Linked DNA regions of Macaca mulatta. The protein of the gene in region 1 purifies or fractionates together with the protein of each later gene. This does not show direct contact. Links are inferred from orthologs where the notes say so. Each region holds a gene or a part of one and is shown in the gene's direction. Other genes may lie near its edges.

Region 1 (3,651 bases):
AAATCTGAATCTGATTTGTTGACAGAGCTCTTGGCATGAGTGAAAGCTTATTCAAGAGGCTGGAGCAGAGTAAGAATGCTGTTGTACAGTTAACCGTGCAGTACAGAATGAACAGGTATTTGTAACAGTGTTAGCTGGGAGTGGTTTTCATATTTGTTTCCGTCTGCTGAAACTAACATTATCTTTTGTAATTCCCTTAGTAAAATTATGTCCTTAAGTAATAAACTGACCTATGAGGGCAAGCTGGAGTGTGGATCAGACAAAGTGGCCAATGCAGTGATAAACCTACCTCACTTTAAAGATGTGAAACTGGACCTGGAATTTTATGCTGACTATTCTGATAATCCTTGGCTGATGGGAGTATTTGAACCCAACAATCCTGTTTGTTTTCTTAATACAGACAAGGTAAAAAAAAATTTTTTCTCTTTAGTTTTTGTCATTTTGTCTTATTATTTAAATTTCTCAGTTTGCATTAGCATATGCCCTGATTAGAGCTTATCAGTTAAAAGGCAAAACTAGGCCGGGCACGGTGGCTCACACCTGTAATCCCAGCACTTTGGAAGGCCAAGGTGGGCGGATCACAAGGTCAGGAGTTCAAGACCAGCCTGGCCAACATGGTGAAACTCTGTCTCTACTAAAAATACAAAAATTAGCTGGACATGGTGGCAGGCGCCTGTAATCCCAGCTACTCAGGAGACTGAGGTATGAGAATTGCTTCAACCTGGGAGGCAGAGGTTGCAGTGAGCCGAGATTGTGCCAATGCACTCCAGCCTGGGTGACAGAGTGAGACTCCATCTCTGGGGGGATAAAAAGGCAAAACTAATGTACTTCTCACACTTCAACCCAAAATAGTCTTTTCTTTCTTTTTCCTTTCTTTTTCTTTTTCTTTTTTTGAGACACAGTCTTGCTCTGTTGCCCAAGTGGCACGATCTTGGCTCACTGCAACTTCCTCCTCCCAGATTCAAGCGATTCTCCTGCCTCAGCCACCCAGGTAGCTGGGATTACAGGCACCCACCACCACACTGGCTAATTTTGTATTTTTACTAGAGATAGGGTTTCATCATGTTGGCCAGGTTGGTCTTGAACTCCTGGTTTCAAATGATCTGCCTGCTTCGGCCTCCCACAGTGCTGGGATTATAGGTGTGAGCCAATGTGCCTGGCCCGAAATAGTCTTTCTTTCTATAGGTTGAATATTTTTGGGGGGAGGTTTATTCTGGAGGTCAGTAGATGTCAAAATTGACTTTTGAAGAAGGAAAGCCACAAAGTGAACTCAAGGATATAATTCTATTTCCTAGAAAAGGAATTTGCACTGATACTATCAAAGGGCTGGGTTTACAAATGGACAGTGAGTATAATAAATCGATGTCCTTTTAAAGACTTTTTAAAAAATAGACTTTAAGGCCGGGCACAGTGGCTCATGGCTGTAATCCCAGCACTTTAGGAGGCCGAGGTGGGTGGATCACCTGGGGTCAGGAGTTCGAGACCAGTCTAGCCAACATGACGAAACCCCATCTCTACTAAAAATACAAAACTTAGTTGGGTGTGGGGCGCCTGTAGTCCCAGCTACTTGGGAGGCTGAGGCAGGAGAATTGCTTGAACCTGAGAGGCGGAGGTTGTGGTGAGCTGAGATCACACCACTGCACTCTAGCCTGGGTGACAGAGTGAAACTCCGTCTCAAAAAAAAAAAAAAAAAAAGGTTTTATTTTCTTTTGGAACAGTTTTAGGTTCATAGCAAAATTATGTGGAAGGTACGGAGGTTTCTTATAACCTCCCTCCCCCACAAATGCACACGAAGACCTTTTTACAAACCAATCATTAAACAGAAATCTGCATAAGGACTTTTTTTTTTTTTTTTTTTTGAGACAGAGTCTTGCTCTGTCACCCAGGCTGGAGTGCAGTGGTGCAATCTCAGCTCACTGCAATGTCCACCTCCCAGGTTGAAGCAATTCTGCCTCAGCCTCCCAAGCAGCTGGGATTACAGGCAAACACGACCACGCCCAGCCAATTTTTTGTATTTTTATTAGAGACAGGGTTTCACCATGTTGGTCAGGCTGGTGTCAAACTCCTGGCCTCAAGTGATATGCCCTCCTACACTGCCCCAAGTGCTAGGATTACAGCCGTGAGCCACGGCGCCTGGCCTTTCACAAGGACTTTAAATGACTTGATTGTTATTTCTGGGAACTAAGAATTAAGTTTTTACCCTATATTTCTACATTTTGCTTTATGTAGTGTTTCTCAGCATTGAGTTGGAAGTCTTTACATAAGTTCAAATAAAAATATAGTAACCATCTGGGCTTGGTGGCTCATGCCTATAATCCTGCAACTTTGGGAGGCTGAGGCAGGAGAATCACTTGAGGCCAGGAGTTCAGGGCCAGCCTGGGCAACATAGTGAGACCCTGTTCCTAAAAAAAAGAAAAAAAATTTCTTTATAAAATTATCTAGATGTGCCTGGGCATGGTGGCTCATGCCTGTAATCCCAGCACTTTGGGAGGCTGAGGCAGGCGGATGATTTGAGTTCAGGAGTTCAAGACCAGCCTGACCAACACGGTGAAACCCTGTCTCTACTAAAAATATAAAAAAATTATCCAGGTATGGTGCTTGCCTGTAGTCCCAGCTACTCAGGGGGCTTGAGGTAGGAGAATCGCTTGAACCTGGGAGACAGAGGTTGCAGTGAGCCAAGATCACGCCGCTGCACTCTAGCCTGGGCGACAGAGCGAGACTCTGTCTCCGAACTTAAAAAAAAAAAATTATCTGGTGTGGCATTGTGCACCTGCAGTCCTAGCTACTTAGGAGGCTGAAGCAGGAGGATCACTGAATTCCAGAGGTTGAAGCTGCCGTGAGCTATGATTGCACCACTGCAATCCAGCTTGGACAACAGAGCAAGACCCTGTCTCAAGAAAATAAAATAAGGATATAGCAACCAATTATATGAGCATATTACTCTAAAATCATTGTCTCCTGTTATTAAGATGGATGGCTGGCGGCCGGGCTCGGTGACTCATGCCTATAATCCCAGCACTTTGGGAGGCCAAGGCAGGCAGATCACCTGAGGTCGGGAGTTTGAGACCAGCCTGACCAACGTGGAAAAACCCCATCTCCACTAAAATTAGCCGGGTGTGGTGGCACATGCCTGTAATCCCAGTTACTTGGGAGGGTGATACAGGAGAATTGCTTGAACCCAGGAGGCGGAGGTTGCAGAGAGCTGAGATTGCACCATTGTACTCTGGCCTGGGCAACAAGAGTGAAACTGTCTCAAAAAAAAAACAACAACAGATGGATGGCCGGATTGGGTGGCTCATGCCTGCAATCCCAGCACTTTGGAGGCCGAGGCAGGCAGATCACCTGAGTTCAGGAGTTTGAGACCAGCCTGACCAACATGGTGAAACCTCGTCTCTACCAAAAATACAAAAATTAGCTGGGCCTGGTGGCGCACGCCTATAATCCCAACTACTCAGGATGCTGAGGCAGGAGAATCGCTTGAACCCAGGAGGCTGAGGTTGCAGTGAGCCGAGATCACGCCACTGCCCTTCAGCCTGGGCGACAGAGCGAGACTCCATCTCAAAAACATAAAAATAAAATAAATGAAAAAGATGGATGGATGGAGCCAGCTTGATGTGTGTGTGTGTGTGTGTGTGCGCGTGTGTGTGTGTG
Region 2 (3,651 bases), about 28 Mb from region 1:
ATATGCGTGAGCCACCACGCCAAGCCACAACTCAGTATCGATCATGTGCCATCATAGTGGATCTGATCAATTTAGGGTTCAGTTTCTTCACTATGCTTATATGCTCACTCTAAGAAGAGGCTGGCAAACTTTTTCTTTCTTTTTTCTTTCTTTTTTTTTTTTTTTTTTTTTTTTGAGGCAGGCTGGAGTGTAGTGGCACCATCACGGCTCACTGCAGCCTCCACCTCCCTGGACTCTGGTACTCTGGTGATCCTCCCACCCCTGCCTCCTGAGTAGCTGGAACTATAGGCACACGACACTACTCCTGACTAATTGTCGTATTTTTCTATAGAGACAGGATTTTGCCTTGTTGCCCAGGCTGGTCTTGAATTCCTGGGCTTCCACCTGCCTTGACTTCCCAAAGTGTTGGGATTACAGGCATAAGCCACCATGCCTGGCCAACGTTTTCTATAAAAGGCCAGACAGTAGCTTTGTGGGTCATATGGTCTCCTCAACTCTGCTGTTACTGCACAAAAACAGCCTTAGAGACAAGAACAGCTACAGTAGCTATATCCCAATAAAACTTTTATTATCAACACTAAACTTTGAATTTCATATAATTTTCACTTGTCACAAGATATTCTTTTGGTTTGTTTCAAACATTAAAAATGTTAAAACCATTCTTAGCCAAACAATGTCAACAGGTTGATTTTTACTCCTAATGCAGAGTAGATATTGGATCTTCCTTCACCGTCATCCTAGATTCCCTTATCATTTTTCTTGGATCAGATCTCCTATTTCCTGAGTTCACATATTCCTCATTTTGTGGTTTACCCCCTCAGTTTGGTGGTGTACTTCCTTTAGTATTTTCCTGTGAGAATGTAGGAAGAAGTGAGGATTTTTTAGATTTGTAAGCCTAAAATGTCTTCAATCTTTTCTCTCATTTTTGACATTATGGGTATGTAATTCAGGAATAGAAATTCTAGGCCAGGTGCAGTGGCTCACACCTGTAATCCAAGCACTTTAGGAGGCTGAGGTGGGAGGATCACTTGAGGTTAGGAGTTCGAGACCAGCCTGACCAACATGGTGAAATCCCGTCTCTACTAGAAATACAAAAATTAGCCAGGCGCGGTGGCAGGCGCCTGTAATCCCAGATACTTGGGAGGCTGAGGCAGGAGAATTGCTTGAACCTGGGAGGTGGAGGTTGCAGTGAGCCAAGATTGAGCCACTGCAGTCCAGCATGGGTGACGGAGTAGGACTCCATCTCAAAAAAAAAAAAAAAAAAAAAAGTAAATCCCTTCTTTTACTGTGTTTTTGGTGGAGTTTGCGAAGAGGAAAAGGAAAACCTGATTTATGTTTTCAATCTGTCGTCTTGGTACAGAAACCATCAAGGCTTTCTGTTTTCAGAATTACAGCTTTTTATAAGGGTGAAAAAAATGGAAATGTCCATCAACAAGGAATTATTTAGATAAACTAGTACAACCACAAAATGAAATCATAGCCACTAAAACTAATGCTATGAAAGAATAATACCATAAAAATGTTCTTAATATGTTAAGTGAAAAAAATTAAAAACTGCATGTACAAAATTATCTTTAAGTATACAGAAACAGTATATACTAGCACATAGTAACAATATATATCAGAGAAGAAAGCAATACACGAGAAAGTTAAGCATGCTTATCTCTTAGTGGTGAAATGATAGAAAAATGTGTAATCAGATCTTTAAAAATGCCTAAAGATAAAAGTTCCCAGGCCGGGCGTGGTGGCTCAAGCCTGTAATCCCAGCACTTTGGGAGGTCGAGACAGGCGGATCACGAGGTCAGGAGATCAAGACCATCCTGGCTAACACGGTGAAACCCCATCTCTACTAAAAAATACAAAAAAAAAATTAGCCAGGCGAGGTGGCGGGCGCCTGTAGTCCCAGCTACTTGGGAGGCTGAGGCAGGAGAATGGCGTGAACCCGGGAGGCGGAGCTTGCAGTGAGCCGAGATCCAGCCACTGCACTCCAGCCTGGGCGACAGAGCGAGACTCCGTCTCAAAAAAAAAAAAAAAAAGTTCCCAAGGAATACATAAAAGGTCAAGCATGTCTTCTTGCTGAGGCGTCATTATCTTACTGTCTTCCCTGATTGGGTATGAGTATCACCCTGTTCTACAGGGTTACCAGGTTCAAGCCTGGGTTCAAGGGTGGTCTGAAATGTTACACAAACCCACAGCCCTTCTCCCTTTTCCAGCCACCTAATGACCCCCATGGTATCCAGAGAGAAGACCTCATCCTGAGTCTTCGCGCTGTGCTGGCTTCTACACCACGATTCGCTGAGGTGGGTCTAGCCAAATTAAGGTGTATAGCCTCTGCCAATAGAAGGTTCTGAAGAAAGAGCAGTAAAAGCATGGAGAAAAAAAGATCTGGTATACATTTTAGGGCATGACACCCTACAAGTGTCTTATGTGGCAGGTATCTTCAAACCTTCGATACAGAAAACTTTAGCATCTCTTCATAATCCAGAGCTGGATTCAGTGGCGCACACCTATAGTCCCAGCTACTCAGGAGAGTCTGAGTGGAAAGGATCACTTAAACCCAGGAGTTCAAGTCCAGCCTGGGCAACATAGGGAGACCCCGTCCCCTCTTACACAAAATAAATAAATAAATAAATAAACCCAATCCCTATATGGTGCTGTCTTTTAAAATCCTGTAACTTTGTCAGCTTGCCTGTTTTTGAGGTAGTGGGGCTCTGGCCACTGCTTGGCAGGAAGTTAGCTCACATTCATAGCTCCTGACTTCAGTATAGCTCCTTGATAAGTAGTACCTGCTTCTGAGGACTTGATGTGACTGACATACTACCCATCTCAGGCTTAAGATCTTGCTTCTGTCCCACAGTTTCTGCTGCCCCTGTTGATTGAGAAAGTGGATTCTGAGGTTCTGAGTGCCAAGTTGGATTCTCTACAGACTCTGGTGAGTGATTTTTCTCCTTGCAGGACCCAGCTACCTTTTGACAAGTTAGGGGTACTAAAGGATATAGATTCTTGGATAGCCAAGGAACAGTTCATGGGCCTCAGAAGAGGACACCCAGGATTTGGGCCTCTGTGTCGACCTGAAGCCCCCAGCTGCATATTGTCGTGTCCCATCCCATAGTAACTGAGGAAAGGCTGACCAGCACTCCCTCTTAGGCTTCTATTTTATCAACCAGGGTAATCTCCTATTTTTCTGTTCCCTGAGTAGGACTGTTAAAAATCTTCACTGGTTTTTCTGCTGAGACCAAGGCTCCTCCAGGTGTCCTTATGCTGAGGTACCTGCACATCCTAGGTGTCTGAGTGTGCACATAACTGATAGCAGCGGTTTCCTTGGCAGAATGCTTGCTGTGCTGTGTATGGACAGAAGGAGCTGAAGGACTTCCTCCCCAGCCTTTGGGCTTCTATCCGCAGAGAGGTGAGTGTTACTCAGATAAATTCACTGCTATTAACTCTCAATTGTCAGGCATGAGGGGAAATAATACATCCTGTCCTTTTCCCTCTGTCATCCCCAGGGCCAAGGTATTATGCCTGGTTATTCAGGAGGCAAGCAGGGGGACATAATTCTAGTTGAATGACGAGAGAGAGTCCCTATGTGACAGTCAGCTGCTTGGTAAGAGCAGTTGATCACCTTTGCACATTACCCACTTCTTGTCCTTCTGT

Evidence for each region.
Region 2: the proteins of DNA2 (region 1) and MMS19 purify together in Homo sapiens (affinity purification with mass spectrometry; 3 studies listed by BioGRID and IntAct, counting the BioPlex papers as one, with this or other methods). This does not show direct contact. The link is inferred for Macaca mulatta from reciprocal best matches to the Homo sapiens genes DNA2 and MMS19.

Annotation. Positions count from the first base shown.
Region 1 is NC_133414.1:81,344,669-81,348,319, forward strand, and holds part of DNA2 (DNA replication ATP-dependent helicase/nuclease DNA2), read left to right. Parts: intron 1-25; coding exon 26-115; intron 116-200; coding exon 201-405; intron 406-3,651. UniProt on the Homo sapiens protein: Key enzyme involved in DNA replication and DNA repair in nucleus and mitochondrion.
Region 2 is NC_133414.1:109,521,509-109,525,159, reverse strand, and holds part of MMS19 (MMS19 nucleotide excision repair protein homolog), read left to right. Parts: intron 1-2,213; coding exon 2,214-2,300; intron 2,301-2,857; coding exon 2,858-2,932; intron 2,933-3,328; coding exon 3,329-3,406; intron 3,407-3,651. UniProt on the Homo sapiens protein: Key component of the cytosolic iron-sulfur protein assembly (CIA) complex, a multiprotein complex that mediates the incorporation of iron-sulfur cluster into apoproteins specifically involved in DNA metabolism and genomic integrity.